Linked DNA regions of Drosophila melanogaster. The gene in region 2 interacts genetically with the main gene of each other region. Each region holds a gene or a part of one and is shown on either strand. Other genes may lie near its edges.

Region 1 (4,664 bases), on a different chromosome or scaffold from region 2:
TGTGCGGCGATCAGAGCTCCGGGAAGCACTACGGCGTGTCCTGCTGCGATGGGTGCTCCTGCTTTTTCAAGCGGAGCGTGCGGCGCGGGAGCAGCTACGCCTGCATCGCTCTGGTCGGGAACTGTGTGGTGGACAAGGCGCGGCGGAACTGGTGTCCCTCCTGCCGCTTCCAGCGATGCCTGGCCGTGGGAATGAACGCTGCTGCGGTTCAGGAGGAGCGCGGTCCGCGCAACCAGCAGGTGGCTCTCTACCGCACTGGCCGGAGACAAGCTCCGCCATCTCAGGCGGCGCCATCCCCGACGCCCCACTCCCAGGCGCTGCACTTCCAGATCCTCGCCCAGATCCTTGTCACGTGCCTGCGCCAGGCGAAGGCCAACGAGCAGTTCGCTCTGTTGGATCGCTGCCAACAAGACGCCATCTTTCAGGTGGTGTGGAGCGAGATCTTCGTCCTGCGAGCGTCCCACTGGTCTCTGGACATCAGCGCCATGATCGACGGCTGCGGCGATGAGCAGCTCAAACGGCTCATTTGCGAGGCCCACCAGCTAAGGGCCGACGTCCTGGAACTCAACTTTATGGAGTCCCTAATCCTGTGCAGAAAAGGTAAAGCTCCGCCTGTGCGGTAAAAAGGCTTGTTAGGATTTAAAAATAAAAGCGGTTTGAAGCCATCTAACCAATTTTCAATGTTTTTACACATATTGACGTGATTTCTTAGACGAAAATTTAAATCCTATGTACGCTATGTATAGATTTTGCTATTTGATTCTGCATGAAAGAGTACACCCAAGCAGTTTTCTTAACCCCAGAAAAAACGTTTCCGTTTTGGGCTTAATAAATTCAAAAGAAAATTTTCCAGCATGTGCAGTTGGTTTGTTTGAACCAACCATAAAATTTGATTAGATTCAAGATTAGAGACAGATTTAAGACCTTTTACATCGTTTTAATTTAATTAAGAGTTTAATAGGAAGTCAAACCACCATTAGTATATCCCATTTTAATACTTTTAATTGCTTATATCGATTGCATGTTTTTACAGAATTGGCCATCAATGCGGAGTATGCCGTTATCCTGGGAAGCCACTCTAAAGCCGCCCTGATCTCCTTAGCCCGCTACACCCTGCAGCAATCCAACTACCTGCGGTTCGGACAACTGCTCCTTGGTCTGAGGCAGCTGTGCCTGAGGCGCTTCGACTGCGCGCTTTCTTGTATGTTTCGCAGCGTGGTCAGGGACATCTTAAAAACACTTTAGGCTCATATCTATCTTCATCTTTCAAAATTAAAGAAAAACCTAGTCTTAAAGAGGGTACTAGATAATGGCTGTTTTTCTGTTCGCCAGTTCAAACATCTAAAGTAACTTCGCTATCTGAAGTTTCAACCCATATCTAAAAATGCATTCATTTCTGTCAACAATCGTTCATGGAGGCATTTAGACACGCCCCAAACTTTATTGGCACTATGCAATTTGTTGGAAATAAAAATATTTGGAACAAAGAGATTATTATGAACTCAAAATTTGATGTGGTATTTTTTGAAAAACACTTTTTCAAAGGTCGCCAATCACAATACAAAAAACTCATCGATATGTTGTGAAAAGTCACGGAGCGAATATATTCGTTTCTGTTCGCTATCGATATATTGATATATTTTTGCCATCGCTACATTGTCTGCTGCGGCCGTCTTGTCGTCTTTCTGTAATTATTTTTCGTAGTTAACAAACCCCTGAATAATGTAAACCAATTAGTGGGTGATGCAAGGACCGAAAATGCGCGCGCGTTGCTAAAGAAGCTAGAAAGCGAGAAAGTTTGCGGAGCGCCATAAGATTGCTGCGCTTTAACTGCTGCTGGTGCCTCTCGTCCGTCGGCCATTTATGACACACACCAGAGAAAACTGGAAAACAATACAGTGTGTGTGCGGTTTGGAGTGTGTGCGAGTGCGGCCAAGTGTTGTGGGCTCGGAAAACTCCAAGAAGCCAGTGGAGAAGTGGTGTCCACGCGAATCCGTGAATCGCAAGCGTTTCTTCTTCGACTGCAAGCGGCGTACAGGGTGCACCGTGCAAAAGAAAGGCAGCCAAGGCATATTGTACTTGCAGTGAGTTCAAGTGGAGAGTGGTGGCCGAGTGGAGCGGGTAGAATGGTCTTGTGGAGAGCGGGGCGAGGGAGTTTCATTCATAAAAAGAGAGTGCACCGTTAGTCCAATTGGTCTGGCTTCCAATGCACAGACAAGCACACACACACCGCCTAAGGAGAGGTTGCACACATTGATTTTTCCAACTCACGTGTGTGTGTGTGCGTGTATGTGGATTAAAGGAAAACGTTTCAAGTGGTTTCCACGCCACATTATTTTGGATTAGCACATTGCTGCTCCCGAATTTCCAGCCCAAAAATAAAGCAACCAAATGTCAACAAGCTGGAATGCCCCAATGCCCCTTCCCCCGCTATTAACACACGTGACACGATACAAGACATTTACATAAAGCTCTAATAACTAACAACATTTCGCAGTCGATTTGGCATTTAACAGTTACCGCTCTAACGGCACATGTCCAGTGCGCCAGTGCACCACCCCCTTCCTTCGTTCAACGAAAAACATATTTGCTTAGCACGGTCACAGGTAAAAGCGGAAGGGACAGGGACGCGCGGAAGCGGTCGCGGTAGGGAACTGAAAAGAGGAATATAAAAGGCATAACATTTCCGCCTGCTGCTTTCGGCTGGCGTCCGCAACCAAAATAGACAACGTCGGAGCGGCTGAGAGTCTCCGTCGCCAGCAGTTATGCGTGGCAACTCGCTAAATATGCACCGACCATAATCATCGTATCATTTTTAATGCTTACATTTTGTATATTGATACTAAGATAACTTACTTAAAGTCTTCGGACAGCAGAAGGTGATCTTCGTCATGTTTTGGCTTCATATTTATACAGCAATCCTCGGAAAAATTGCGTAAAATGAATTCCATGAATAAATTCTTAAGTTTAGTTTTAATAGAAAGTTAACATAAAGCAGTCGTCAAAGTAATCAAGAAGCTTGATCACAAACTTTGGCTCCGCGTAAACGTGGCGAAGAAGTATGCATATGTTTGTGGCTTCTTTCAGCTCTTGGAGCGAGCGCCACGTTTGCGTCGCTGTTGTTGCAACATGCACCTAGGCCTGCGTCACTTTGAATGTCCTACCCTCCTCCCTTCCGCTCCCCTGCGTTTGACAACCCCTGTCGCTAATTTAAATGCCGCAAGTGTTGTCGAGTTTCCTGTGCCTACAATGTGTGTTTTTCTCATTAGGGAATAATTTTGCATGGGCCCCTGCAGAAAGAAAAACATTTTTTATCGATTTTACCTAAAGTTCGACCGTCAATGAAATCAAACACAATGCGGTACATCGTTAACCCAGTTCTGGGCGCCCACACGCTCCCGAAAAGTTTGTTCTTGCTTGATTTAAAAACGAATTTTCACCTATGTGTGTATGTTTGCATGCATATTATATGTACATACATATATACGTTTATAGATCTCTGGGCAAGCAGCCAGTAAACCAACGTATGCCCATAAAGCCTATAGTACAGATATACAGTTGCGGTCAAGAATATATCACACAGCAAGTTTACTACTTTCTATTTGTCGATACTCCTTTACTTTTTATCTTAAATTCAGTATGTATCGACATACATACATATGTAATTGAAATCAACGAGCGTATCTATTGAGTAAACAATCTACTTACATCGGTGAATTTAAAAACAATTAGCAAGAAAACATTGCACTTGATAAATTGGGGTAGAAAGGTAATGTCGGAATGAACCGCATGACACATAATGATTTGGGTATTTTATCCTATGATTCTCTTATATACTTATGTACACATATATGTACATATATTGGTCACTAAGAACCCTTTTTTCTGATGATTCAAAAGTTGGAGTTGATATCTTATTAGATCCCCGCTATGCTATTAAGTTGACCACAGCTGTTGGAACTGTATGTTAATGTTTGTCCAACGTTTTCACACTTCGCCACCCCCTCGTCCCAGACTCTCCGCCTCCCGTTAGCTGCATTGACTCTTGACGCCTGACGATGATAAATGAATCATAAAAGCAGCGCAGTCGACGTCGCCGGCAAAGCAGACAGGCGCCAAAGCCGCCTTGCTCTCCTCGCCACTCTGCGCTCCCACTCCTTTTCGCCCTCTCGCTCATATGTTTGGCTGCGATGCCGCCCACTCGAGTGTGTTTATGTTGTTGCTGTCCTCGCTGCTTAATTTCCTCATTTGTGTTGCTGTAATTCCCAATGCGTGAGCTGCTTTGTTTTTATTATGAGTGCAATCGAAGCCACTCTTGTTATCGCAACGAATTTTTTATGGCTCTCGATCGTTTACGTGGGCGAGAGCGGAGCAACTGAGGTAGAGAGGATACCCTTAAAGTGTGTTGTGTGAGAACAGTGGTTTGCGTCTAATGGAAACTGAAATTAAAATATAGTCCTTTAATGATTATTCCATTTTGGGTCATATTTTTTAACTCCATATGCTCTATAGGTGCTCCAATGAATATTTAAAATAAATGAACTAAAAGTGAATAGATGTGGGTATACAATTATGATCAATGCACACTTAACTTAAATAGGATAATATTTTAAGTTCCTCACATAGATGCGCAATAATTGCTGAATTGAAATGTATAGTCTCAA
Region 2 (7,568 bases):
TATATCTTTGTGTTGCATATGTGTGTTGTTGAATACGGGTAATATGAATGCTGAGATTTCTCTGCTCCAGTCCTGGACCTGCTTACGTGCCATTGGCCTTCGGCAGCGATCGCACCAGATACAGCTTTTCGCCCTGCTTATTCGTGTAGATGGGCGCTCTTTGGTAGTGATCGACCAGTTGGTCCAGCGAGTGGAACTTCCTCTGCCCAATGCAGTACATGTTCTGCTCCACGTGCACGCGGAAGTGCTTGTTGCGCCCTGGGGCCTTTAACGAAACCGAATAGTCTCCCATCTGCAAGAAAGGATGAATTCGTTTATACACTCTCAAAGAATTCGGGCGGAACTATGTTATGGCACTTCAATTGCGAATTCCACTTACGTTAGTCTCACTGTCTCTGATGAGGAAGTCGCCATCGTGCCCGTGGCCGTTGAGCACCGTGTCGCACTGGCTGCGGGTGATGGCTCCATAATACCACGACTTGCCCGCCAGATTTGGCCGCTCGATTGGCTGGCCGGAAGATTGCGCCGCCGGCTTATTACCCTCATTGCGCCGCTCCATGGAGTCGTTTCCTCCGCCACCACCTGCGCCGCCATTACTTCCTCCTCCATTTCCGTTTCCTGCACTGGCACTCGCATTACGATAGGGCGTGGCCAGGTAGTCGTTCAACTCTTGGAGATAATTGCGTGGAACTAAACCGACTTGGCCCTGATTGTTGCGAGCTTTGTACCAGTCCGGATCGGAGGCGGGCCGATCCACGATCTCCAAGCGATCGCCCTTCTCGAACGAGAGCTCCTGGTCGTTGTTTGACGTGAAGCTGTACAGCGCGACCTATATATTTGAAAATAGTTGTTATTAGCCAATAATGACAACCTCTCATAGATGATGTGAATGTTTATTTTGAGAACACGTCCAGTTACTCACCACAATATCAAGCACGTTCTCGGCCATTGCGTAGGTGTGGATCTCGCCGTCGTTATCACAATCCTCCGTTGTGTAGTTGCTGGGGAACCAGCCGACGGAATTGCCGCTCTGTCCACGCCACCATCCATCGTTGGACTTCTCCAGGATGAGGATTCGTGTGCCCTTGGTCAGCGAAAGTTCATCGGGCTGCTGGGCCTGATAGTTATACTTGACCACAGCCGTTCCGATGGCCTCTGCGGGATCTGGGGGAAGTCGGCGCGACATGGTTGGACTCTCGACCTGTCGCGAAGGCGAACAATTAGGCAGTGTCTTCGATCCGGAGCCCTTTTTCACCTTCTTCTTAATGCTGCACAGAAATCGTAAATCAAAATATTCACGATCAGTATTGGGATGAAGTTTTATGGTTAGATTTCATTGGCGGTTTAAAGTGGGTTAGACTAGCCCTAGTTGGTTTGGGTGTTAGTGGATCTTTAGTTTTTAGGGGCAAGTGGGGCTCGACAGACAACGAAATCAAAACGAATTTGTTGTTTTGAAATACAAAATACAAAAGCCGAAAGCAGTTATAAGTTAAATTACGATAGCCAAAGCAAAAGGTGGAGGCGGGTATTTGAACGCGATAGAGATACAGATACATCTACGGATACGGATACAGATACAGGTATAGAGGGCTTAATTCTGCTGAAATCAGAGCAAGAAGAACGCTTAGGTTTAGTCGGGCCAGGAATCTGACGCACCTGTCGAAGAGCGAGGGCTTCTCCTTCTTCACATAGTTGCTTGGCACGTAGCCGGACTGGTTGCGACTGTTCTGGACGCGCCACCAGTGCTTGGAGTCGTCCAGCAGCAGGTAGCGCTCGTTCTTGCGCAGATCCAGCTCCTGGGCACCCTGCGCCGCATAGTCGTACTTGGCTACCACGTAGCAGACGTCGTCCTGAGATTTGCCTGCGGAGTGATTAACAGGAACAGGTTAGAAGAGTACCAAGTGCACACACAGTTAGAAAAGCAAAATGGGCCAGTATGATAGAACCACAAATTCATTAGCATACAAATCCTAGATCCTTTTACTACACCCAATGCTCTTCTCGCTGTGAGGTTATTGTGTTGCAGTTGCTCACCGTGCTTCATGTTGCCCGCCATTGATTGGGTTCCAGCGTTGCCGGCGGCACTGCCACTGGAGGAGTTGCCGCTACCGCTTCCGTTGGCGCTTCCGCTGCCGTTGCCGCCGCAGTCGAGCGCTGGCTGGCCGAAGGTCACACTTTTGTGCTGGGCGCTGCAGGAGGAGGCGGTGGACAGGGTGCGGTGGTGGTGCAACTGCTGTTGCTGGGAGAGCGAAGAGTGCCGCTGGTGATGGGCAGGTGAGCCGGGAACGGGCACGGGCACCTGGGGACGGTACTGGTAGATCTGATTCTGGTTCAGGTTCTGATTCTGGTTGAGATTCAGATTCTGGTGCTGCGGCAGCTGTGGCGGATGCTGCTGCTGCTGCGGATACTGCTGCGAACTGGCTGAGGAGTCGGGGATGTTGCGCACAAACCGCTGGGGGTGTTCCAACATTCCAGACTGGCTGCTCCTCCGCCGCGGGGGGATTCCTGCTCCTCCAGCTGGGACTGCCCTGATGCTCCTGGTGATGCTCCTGGAGGCAAGAGGCGGTGGCTCAGTGTTGGTGGACTTGGAGTTGGGGTTGGAGTTGATGAACAACAAGTCTTTGATGGTTTGGTTATGTGTTGCAGTTGCTCGCTGGCACTCTAAGCTTGCTGCAAATCGCCTCTAGCCAATGCATAATTGCTGTGGGCGTGGTTTCAGGGGGCGAATGGGCGTGAGCGTGGGCGGAAGCGTAGGCGTGGCAAAGTAAACATAAGCAACGCAATAACATAAGCAACGAACGAAGAAAGAAAGAAAAAGAGAGCAAATGATATATGCAAATTAGGCTTAATTGTTTCGCACTGAAGAAGCTAAAGAGCGTAAAAATGATTAGCTTAAAAAATACAATGCAAGTACTCAAACTCGAAATACCAAATAGGAAATCAACTCAAAATTAGCCGAGAGATGAATGTTTGTTTTTGGGGTCAGCGAGCCGGCGATGAAGATGAATGAGTGAAGTGTTTGTGTTGTGATGATCATGATGATGATAATATGAGCGGGAGATGGATATGGGGGCTGAGGGATCTGGCCATTCCAGTTGTGGGGCAATTAAAATCTGTGCAAGTGAAAGTTGCCTCCGACTGACTCCACTCAATTGAATCCAATTGCCAGGCGAGCGAATAAGTGGCCATCGGGTATTGATTTGTTCAACGGGGCAGCCTCACCGAGGCTGGAGAACCAGAGACTCAAAATCCGGGCCATTTCAGGCCAAGAAAGACACAGAAATCAACTGAGACATTCGACCGCAATGAGTCACGAACGTGAATGGTCGGGGGTATTGGGAAATTGGTTTCTTAACCGAGATTTACCGAGTGACATAAGGCAGTTAGCGGGCGGCACAGAAGGTTATTTCGGCCAGAGATCTCTAGAGAGGCTTCCCGAGTTCGTTGGCCAGGTTGGCGAGCCAACAAAATCAAAGTCAATGTCATAGCCGAGGGCCATCTTTGGATAATTAAAAATCAATAAGTGTGGGCCACGTTGAGAAAACGCTCTACTCGGTCTTTGACTCTAGGCCAATCTTGGTTTCGCTTTTCAATGACTGTTAGGTCATACACGAGAGGCTGAGTCAGCTGAAAGTGTTTTCGAGAGCTCTAATGCCATTCAATTCTGGCATTTCGGTGCAATATCTATTAGCAACTGACCCATACGTATATAATAAGAAATGCAGGCAATGCATAAATTTGTTTTGCCGGTAAACTTCTAATCGTGCTTCCTGTTCGAATTTTGGCCATAATAATCTCCATGTGATAACGAGTGTTTTTGTTTACTTTACCATCGATTAGTCAAAGGTTTTTGCGTTAGCTAGAGATACGGAGAAGTACCTGTTTAACCGAAGCATTGGTCGCAAAGTGATTCACTGTTGTGCGAATTGTCTGTGTGTTTTCCCTATTTTTTGAGAGGAGAAAGCGGGAGTGAAACCGTAACCGAACCCAGATAGAAACGGAGAAAGAACCCGAAAAAGATTATATTTATGCAAATGCTGGAGTGATAAGGGGGCGGTTCAGTTCGGTTCGCTTGGGGACTTGGTAAACATGAAACGCCTGGCTGGCTGGCTGGCTGCCAATGAACTGAAATGCACCACCGTTGGATTCGGATCGGTGTTTGGATTTCTTTGGCTTGGTGATTGTTTTGTTATTGTTTGCGCTTGCATAAGCCCAACAGCCGAGACATTGACATTACACTGCTGATAAAATCCGAAGAAATCGGAAGGAACTTGCTGATAAGTTCGTTAGCGCGGAGAAATTGTCAAAAAATATATTATGAACTATGATTTGATAAGATTCCCTACTGCTACTGCAATAAATGAATATATATTTTTAAAGAATTCTTTGTGGTATGATTTCTTAGCTTCCCGTATGACAAACATTTATGTTTTTTTCCGGTGCACTCGTTCATTGTTTTCCTGACAGCAGTTCGTCTTTTCGCTGAGAGAAAGAAAGAGTTGCACGTGCTTGGGGGACAAGCCCACAAGTTTATGAGGCGGAAAGTTTGTTTCCCCGTGCTGTGTCTGTGTATTGGTTGAAGATCGGTTCCAGACGAGGGAGTATAGTCATTGGTCCCCAAGAAAAGCCATCACGAACGAATTGGTGGCCCCGAAACGGGAGCATTTGGGTCTATAACATTGAGTTACGACTTCGGTGGATGGATGGGGCAGCCATGGAGGAACTGAAAGTGGGGCACTCTTATCTGGATCTCGGGGCGTGGGAGGCAAAGGGCAGCCTGTTTACATAAGATCACTCATTCAGGGAGCTGGGAGTCCACTCCCGCCCGGGTTGATTAAGTAGATGCTTTTGCTGGGGAATGGGATTCGAATGGGGTTTCGGTTTCGGTTTTGTTTTTTGTATTTTGTATTTTTTTTTTGGCTTTTGTTGCCGAGGGAGTTTGCGACATTTGCCGGCCGTTTCGTTTAGAGATGCTGCGCAAAATCTCTGCGAGGTGGTGGCTTTTTGGCAGCGAGAGGGTGGACTTCTCGTCCTGCAAAGGATGGCAGGACTCGTTCCCAGTGTTGTTAAGAGTACAAGCTTTTGTACCTGGCACAGGCTTTTGAAAAACACAAGTACCTACTATAGTAGTATTTGAGCAATGAACATATTATAGATTTATGGTAAGTGAAGCATCTTCACGATTTATCTGTTTCATCTATCTAGACAAGGGAAAGGGTACATATGTACACACATATATATCGGTGGCACAGTTTGCCGTAAACACGACCATGGTTACCCAAAAAAAGGTGATGGAAAGCGGAGGGCTAAGGGTTGCAGCACCGCCCACTGGGCGGGTGGTGGACCGAGCCAAAGGACTACGCACCACCAGGTGACGAGGGCGAGATAAAGAGAGAGAGCGCAGGTCAAGAGAGAGAGAGAGAGAGCCGAGAGAGAGAGCCGTGAGAGATTCGAACAGGAGCTAAAAAGGAGCAGCCGAATATTTTGTGTGTACCTACCGGAGACGAAGCGGTTGGACTGGCAACTCCTATATTCCTCCTGGATCTCCTTATCCTGGCACTCCTTATCCGTATCCGTATCCTTATCCGGAAAGTCGGAGTCCGTATTTCTCGGTCTTAACCCTTGGCAATCCTCAGGATTTGGGAGTGGAAGACATGGGATAAGACACTGCTCCTGGAACTCCTGGAACGCACTCTATATCACTTCCACTTTCCACTGGGCTATTGCACTTTACACACACTTAAAACACAACTTTAATTATAATACACCTAGGCGTGAGTGTGTGTGTGTGAGTGGGGCGGGGGTGAGCCTGTGTGTGTGTACATATGCTGCTGCCGCGATTGAAAAACACACAAATCCTGACAAATAAACGCTTTTCCACGCTTCTGATTACCGCACACGTTAACTGCGTTAAGTGGCAAATTGTTTGCACAATTTTGCAGCGCTCTCTTGCGGTTAACTAATTAAATTTTAATGATTTTGCCGGAGCCGTTTCTTTCACGTCGCCCATCCGATTTCGATGTGCGGAAGGCGATAGCGATTGACCACGACCAGGGCTGTCAGGTGGCGTATCAGCGGTTTTTCTTAGCGAACTATCGATAAGCACGTTGCGCGCTGTGCAGCACTTGTCCGGTCATCGGGTCTATCGATATCGGGTGGCGTTTTTGTTATGATTTTGGATTACATGGTTGGTTTAACCCGAAATACCATGCTGAAAACTCGGGGTATTGTGCTTGGCATCAGCAGGTCGTACACCGCCAAGGCGAAGAGGGGTGTGCTGGCGCAGGACAAGTCGAAGATCAAGGAGTACTCACCGAAGACGACGGACAGCCATGAGCACCGAGTTTACGTGTGGGGCTTTCAGGAAACCGGCGCTCTCGGTCTCCAGACCAACGTGAAGAAGGCCAAGGAACGCTACACGGAGATGGTGCACCATCCCACCCGCTTGCAGTTCTCCAACAACAACGAAATCACGGATGTGGCCGCCGGCTACGGGTTCACGGTCTACGCCGTGAATAGAGATGACGGAGAGACGCTCTTTGGCAGCGGTTTGAACACCGACTCCCAACTGGGTTTCCAGGTGAAGGGAAATCCCAATGATCCGGCCAACCTTGACGTGATCATTTATCCTACAGCCATTAAACTGCCGAGAGTTCAGGGAGAAACAGACGAGGACATGCGTGTGAAGAGCATGTCGGCGGGTAGAGCTCACCTGGTGGTTCTGACCCAAAACGGAACCATTTTCACCCTGGGAAACAATTCGTACGGCCAATGTGGCCGCTCCATCATAGAGGAGGAGCGGTACAGCAAGAGTGCCCTGATCCACAGGATATCGCAGGAAGATATATGCGGCAAGGAGGATGAGGTGGTCCAGGTGGAGTGCGGCCAGGACCACAGCATGTTTCTTACCAAAAAGGGACGCATTTACACATGTGGCTGGGGTGCGGATGGTCAAACAGGTCAGGGAAACTACCACACCGCCGGGCAGATAACCCTGATTGGAGGAGATGTGGAAAAGGAGAAGATTGTGCGGCTCAGCTGCTCCTCGGACTGCGTTTTGGCCCTTAACGAGGCGGGCGATGCCTTTGGCTGGGGCAATTCTGAGTACGGACAGCTAGATGACTCAGAGCTGGCCGAAACCCAAATAAATATCCCTAGAGCTCTCAAACTAACGAAGTCCATCGGGAAAATCAAGGATGTGGCTGCGGGAGGCTCATTTTGCATGGCCCTCAACGACCAGGGTCTGGTGTACACCTGGGGCTTTGGCATCCTCGGCTTCGGACCCTTCGTGGAGCAAACATCCAAGCCGCAGCATCTGTTGCCGCCTTTATTCGGACGAAATGACTTCAGCAACGAAACCACAGTGGTTTCCATCGGATGCGGAGTGTTTCACATGGGCGCCGTCAACTCGGACGGAGATCTCTTCATGTGGGGCAAGAACAGGTTCGGGCATCTGGGGCTGGGACACAAGAAGGACCAGTTCTTTCCCTTTAAGGCGGCCATCAACGGAAAGGTCACCAAAGTGGCCTACGGAGTGGATCACACCATTGCCTTGTGCAAGCCGTTCT
Region 3 (4,711 bases), on a different chromosome or scaffold from region 2:
AGGTATGATTTTAATATAAGCGTGGGTATGAATTTTGAGAGTAACTGGCATATATAATACTAGAACCATTTACCAATTTATATGGCTTAAACTACTTTTTTTCGGTGTAGTCATTAATAATGAAGGGTAGTGCTCAGCGTTTTACAGCTAAATTGAACGTTTTGAGACTTTTTTAAGGCACTTGCCTTTTGCCCCGCCCACCGCCTACAATTTTCGGCGAAAAATCGTATGCGGCTTACTACTACGCACACACACACCACGAAACGTAGTCACACGCACACATGCGTACGATTTTGCAGAACAACTGTGCAAAAAATATGCAAATTACCATGTTAAAATGATGAATTCCTTCGAGATTTCTATGCGAATCCAATGATGACACTTAAAATTCACATTAACTGCGGTTTTCACCAAGATACCAATTGATTTTTCATACGATAAATGCTGTGCAAAAATTTCTTTTTACGTTAACACCAACACACACATGCACGCACTCAAACTCACACACATACACACACACACGCGCGCGCGGACATATACCGAGCAGAAAAGTAGCTGTGTGTTGAGAATTGGAGAATCGCAGACCCCGAGCGAGAGGAGCCCGAAAAAAGAGAAGCGCCGACGACCGCAAGCCAAAGCGTATTGAATCGCGGCTCCAGCATTCGAGCATTAAAGCCAGGTCCGTAAAATCCGATTGGAGTCCGGAGTCCTCGAAGTTGTAAGTGAGAGAGACAGAGAGAGCGAGCCAGCTGAGCGAGCTCCAAAGGAGAGCGAATGCGCAACTTGTACTTGTACTTGTCCTCCCCTTCCCCTCCCCTTCCTTTCTATCATTCTCTTGCAAGGAGAGAAAACCATTTTTCTCAGCGGCCAATTTGTTGCAATTGAAACAATAACAATTCCGCTGGGCAATTTGTTTCGGGCCTGGCAAATTAGTTAGTTAATAAATGAATGAAAAGGGGGACCGAGGGAAAGGCGGTAGTGAAAGAGAAATGGGAAAACAAAGCGTAGCTTCAATAAGCAGGCACAAGCATTATTCCCTAAAGTGGTTGCCATTGGCAACGATGGAAATGCACTTGGCACAGTGGAACCGCTTACTGAAGGCGGCTACAAGAAGTTCACCGAAGTTCTGCTAAAGCCCTAAAGTACCCAAACTGTAAGATACTATATACATATGTAAATATTAGATACTATATAAAGATTGAACATATTAAGTTGGGCTTCAAAAAGATAGAGCCCTATTTATACGTTCAATGTTCCTATATATAACTTCAAGTTGTAAGATATTAATAGATCGTTCAACTTGGTTTACTTTTCCATTGCAGCGAGAAGATTAATGAGAGGGAGTGGGGACAGCAATTGATAATCTCCTTATCTGTCCCACTGTGCGTTGAATGCCACGCAAAAGACAAACAAACCGAGGCACGCACACACACACACACACACACACACAAGCGAATGAACCAAGCACAACCACTTTTCATGCCGCACAAGGCAATAAGAGAAATAGAGAGATGGAGCCACTTGGGGAGAGAGCGCAAGAGCGAGCGAGGCTCCATCGGCGGTAACTCTATTTGAGAACCGCGCAGCTGCATGCTCTCGCTCTCTTTCTCTGCCTCTAATCTCTTGGTGGAGCCATTGCCGCCCGACTCCCCTCCCCAACCGTTATTCTAACACTTCATTGGAGACAACGACATCAAGTCATTTGATTCCCACACAAATCTCTGCATATTGAGCGCGGACTCTCTCTACATCTCCAGCTATCTCGCTCTCACTCGTTTTATTATGGCAAGTGAGTTATGGTTTTTCCGGCTGTGTGTGTGTAAGTGTGTACTGCTGCGCTTTCTATTGATTTATATGAGTTTTATGGCGCAATCTGAGCTATAACAGCCAAAGAGCAGAAAAAATTTACGTAGAGCGCTGGTCTCGATTTTAATTATGGCAAGGGACAATTATGCAAACGGAGAATTAATAAAAAAAAAGGAAAACAATAAAGAACAAGACTTTAAGTTTTATTACACTCCCACTACTCACGACCAGAGTTGTCACGTGTCGTTCGCAATGCCAGACACGTGTTCGTTTATTAATTACATAAGCCTAAACAGCGGCAGCTGCAGTCGTGAGTACCCCTCCTCCTGATTGTCTTTTGTTTCCTCTATTTTTTTGTTGAAAACCCAATTTCCTGCAGATGCTAAAGATGCCGCATTGAATACAAGGCGCATCGAAACAGCTGGCAACCCTCATAAGTGACAGATGGCGACGCCGACGTCGACGCAGGCAGCGCAGGACGAAGGCCGCATCAAAATAAAAACACAAAAAAGAGTTGCCGCCTGTCCGAAATGTACCAAAAACACCAAGACCCATTTAAGTGTAAACGTAATTAAGTGTACATATTATAAACTTACGTTAGCAGATAATATTACTATTTTCCAGGCTTTTGGCTAAGTTCTCTCCGCTCCTCCTCTTACCGTTCGACAAATCACATAAATCACAAGCGTAACGAAAGCTGGCACACAAAATGTAAACAATGTAAAACGCTCGTAATTGTTGCTTTTGTAGCTTAATGAATTTCACGTTTTTTATGGTTTTTTCCACAAAAACAAGAGACTAACAAACGGCATCAAACGCACGCAGACACATCCACTCGCACCAAAACTCACTGTTTGTTGTCTTTATTTTATGTCTACGACGCGCGAGTAAAACATAAAAACCAGATTAATTTCAGGCAGACGAAAATGTTGACGCTTTTTTTTTTGTTGGTTTCTTTTAAGCTGAATTTCTTGCTCAGTTGTTGTGGTCGCGAGTGCTCTTTTTTATTTGCTGAGCCGCCATTTTCTTTTGTGGCAATTTGTTGAGTTTTATTTATTTTTTTTATTTTCTCAGATATATTAAGCACTGCTTTCTTACTTTGTAATTATAATCACTTTACTTTGTTGTGATATCCGTACTTGTGATATATTTCGTTTTTGAATCTAACGACAAAAGAACGGGTTTCCGCTACAAACGTCCGAACAGCGGAAAAACGAAAACAAAACTTAGTGTGATCGCAGCGTGGCTGTTGGAAAATACCTCATTAATAAAACATCGATTGCACACAAAGTATTGACGTATCGATGTTTTAGTATTTTTGGGTCATCTGCTCAGTTTGTGTTTTGAAGTTGATGTTATAATCATCAAAAAATAATGTCTTTTGTATTTTTGCTTTAAATAGTGTTGTACGTACAACTTTTTCATTTATCACCGGTCATAATTGTTTTCCACCCCTGAAACCGGTGTGGAAGCTCAAAAATACCAATTATTTAAAAACGACCCCTAGCAGTGTTGGTAAACATGTTATTATTGAGGCACTTGCAGCACTCCCTTGTCGGTATTTTCTGTGCTGTCACTTCGCGTTCTCCGCTTTGTGCTCTCCTTCCACAACGAAATAAACGGAGAAATAGCAATGTTAGTTTTAATTCGTTTTAGCCATAACAATTAATTAAACGAGTGCGAGTGCCAGTGTCTTAATTAAAATGTATGTGGCGCACTGATTGGCTTTAATTTAAATGTTTCGTGCTGTTTGATTTGTCCCCTGTGTTATATTTGTGCGGCGTTTTGTGCATACTTTTTGTGGTTAAATAAACTAAAGGAACCAGTGTGAGTCGATTACTAAGCTTAAGCTTATTAAAAGTGTTAATGTTAAAAAAGCGGCGTCTTAATTGAAAAATGCTAATGAGTTAAAACAGGTTGGCGACTCTCCTGCTCGCTCTCGATGCCCTGCCTCCACTCTCTCTCTTTCTCGCTCATTTGTTGCACTATTGTTGTTGCGGCCAACTGGGTACTTTTAACAGTTACCTTGGTCAATGTACGGCATTAATTACGCTCAAATACTTAAGTACTGAGATGCCAAGTAAGCGGTGAAAGAAGGAGAGGCGAGGAGTAAAAATAAACTAATTTGCACACTCGCTTTGGCGTGCTAATTCCACTTACTTTTCTTCTTTTATTGTTTTGTGGGCGTTTTGCATGATTCACTCGCGTTTGTTTTGTCTTATTCGTTTTATCAACGTCTACGCATTTGGTGCAGCGCAAGCAACAACAACTACCTGTGGCATGCAGTTCGTTTGGCGTCTGCGTATGTGTGTGTGTGCCTCAAATGTCAAAGTTGACATTTGGTTTTGGGCGGGATTTCAAATTCGTGGGCAAAGAGAAAACGATAACAGAGAGAGCAATAGAAATTCATAAGTTCGTTTATCTATCAGATTCTGAAGATAATGCTACGACACTTTACAGTTAAGCTTCTACAAAATAACAAATCCTTAAAAAAGTTCAGTCAATGTATAAATATAAATATATTTCGCCACTAATAGTTTATTAAAATATATTTTTTTATTTAAACTAGAAAATAAAACTTACTTTTAGCTTAATTTGTAATTGTAAAATGTCTTTTTAATTTATTTTACTGTAAACCGCTTCGTTTTTAACTCGTATCTATTTACTCTTATTTTTGCAGTTTTCTGTTATCAATCTGTTTGTCTCTGTGTGTTACGTGATATCAAAATATTTTACCCAGCTAGCAAATGCAGAAAATGCCCTCGCAAATTCTGAACGACGGCAGCAGCGTCAGCTTGAATAGCGCCAGTATGAACATGGCCAATACGCCCAATAGTATAACGGTAAAGACCGCCTACAATGGCCAGATTATCATTACCACCATCAACAAGAATATCTCATACGA

The links. A genetic interaction does not mean that the proteins touch.
Region 1: of dock (region 2) and Pak, changing one suppresses a phenotype caused by changing the other (phenotypic suppression), as found in Drosophila melanogaster (2 studies listed by BioGRID).
Region 3: of dock (region 2) and ckn, changing one enhances a phenotype caused by changing the other (phenotypic enhancement), as found in Drosophila melanogaster (one study listed by BioGRID).

The regions. Positions count from the first base shown.
Region 1 is NT_033777.3:6,349,268-6,353,931, forward strand, and holds the start of Pak (p21-activated kinase), read left to right. Parts: upstream 1-1,628; 5' UTR 1,629-2,084; intron 2,085-3,855; exon of another isoform or gene 3,856-4,272; intron 4,273-4,664. Other genes in the region: Hr83 (hormone receptor 83), read left to right, coding at 1-600, 1,034-1,245.
Region 2 is NT_033779.5:824,438-832,005, reverse strand, and holds the start of dock (dreadlocks), read right to left. Parts: upstream 6,038-7,568; 5' UTR 5,499-6,037; intron 2,702-5,498; exon of another isoform or gene 2,550-2,701; 5' UTR 2,471-2,549; coding exon 2,035-2,470; intron 1,862-2,034; coding exon 1,657-1,861; intron 1,269-1,656; coding exon 923-1,268; intron 830-922; coding exon 380-829; intron 293-379; coding exon 83-292; 3' UTR 1-82. Other genes in the region: CG3862 (uncharacterized protein), read left to right, coding at 6,209-7,568. UniProt on the Drosophila melanogaster protein: Adapter protein that links cell surface receptor tyrosine phosphorylation to downstream signaling pathways and effectors, many of which are involved in regulation of the actin cytoskeleton.
Region 3 is NT_033778.4:14,961,617-14,966,327, reverse strand, and holds the start of ckn (caskin), read right to left. Parts: upstream 3,037-4,711; 5' UTR 2,403-3,036; intron 645-2,402; exon of another isoform or gene 329-644; intron 1-328.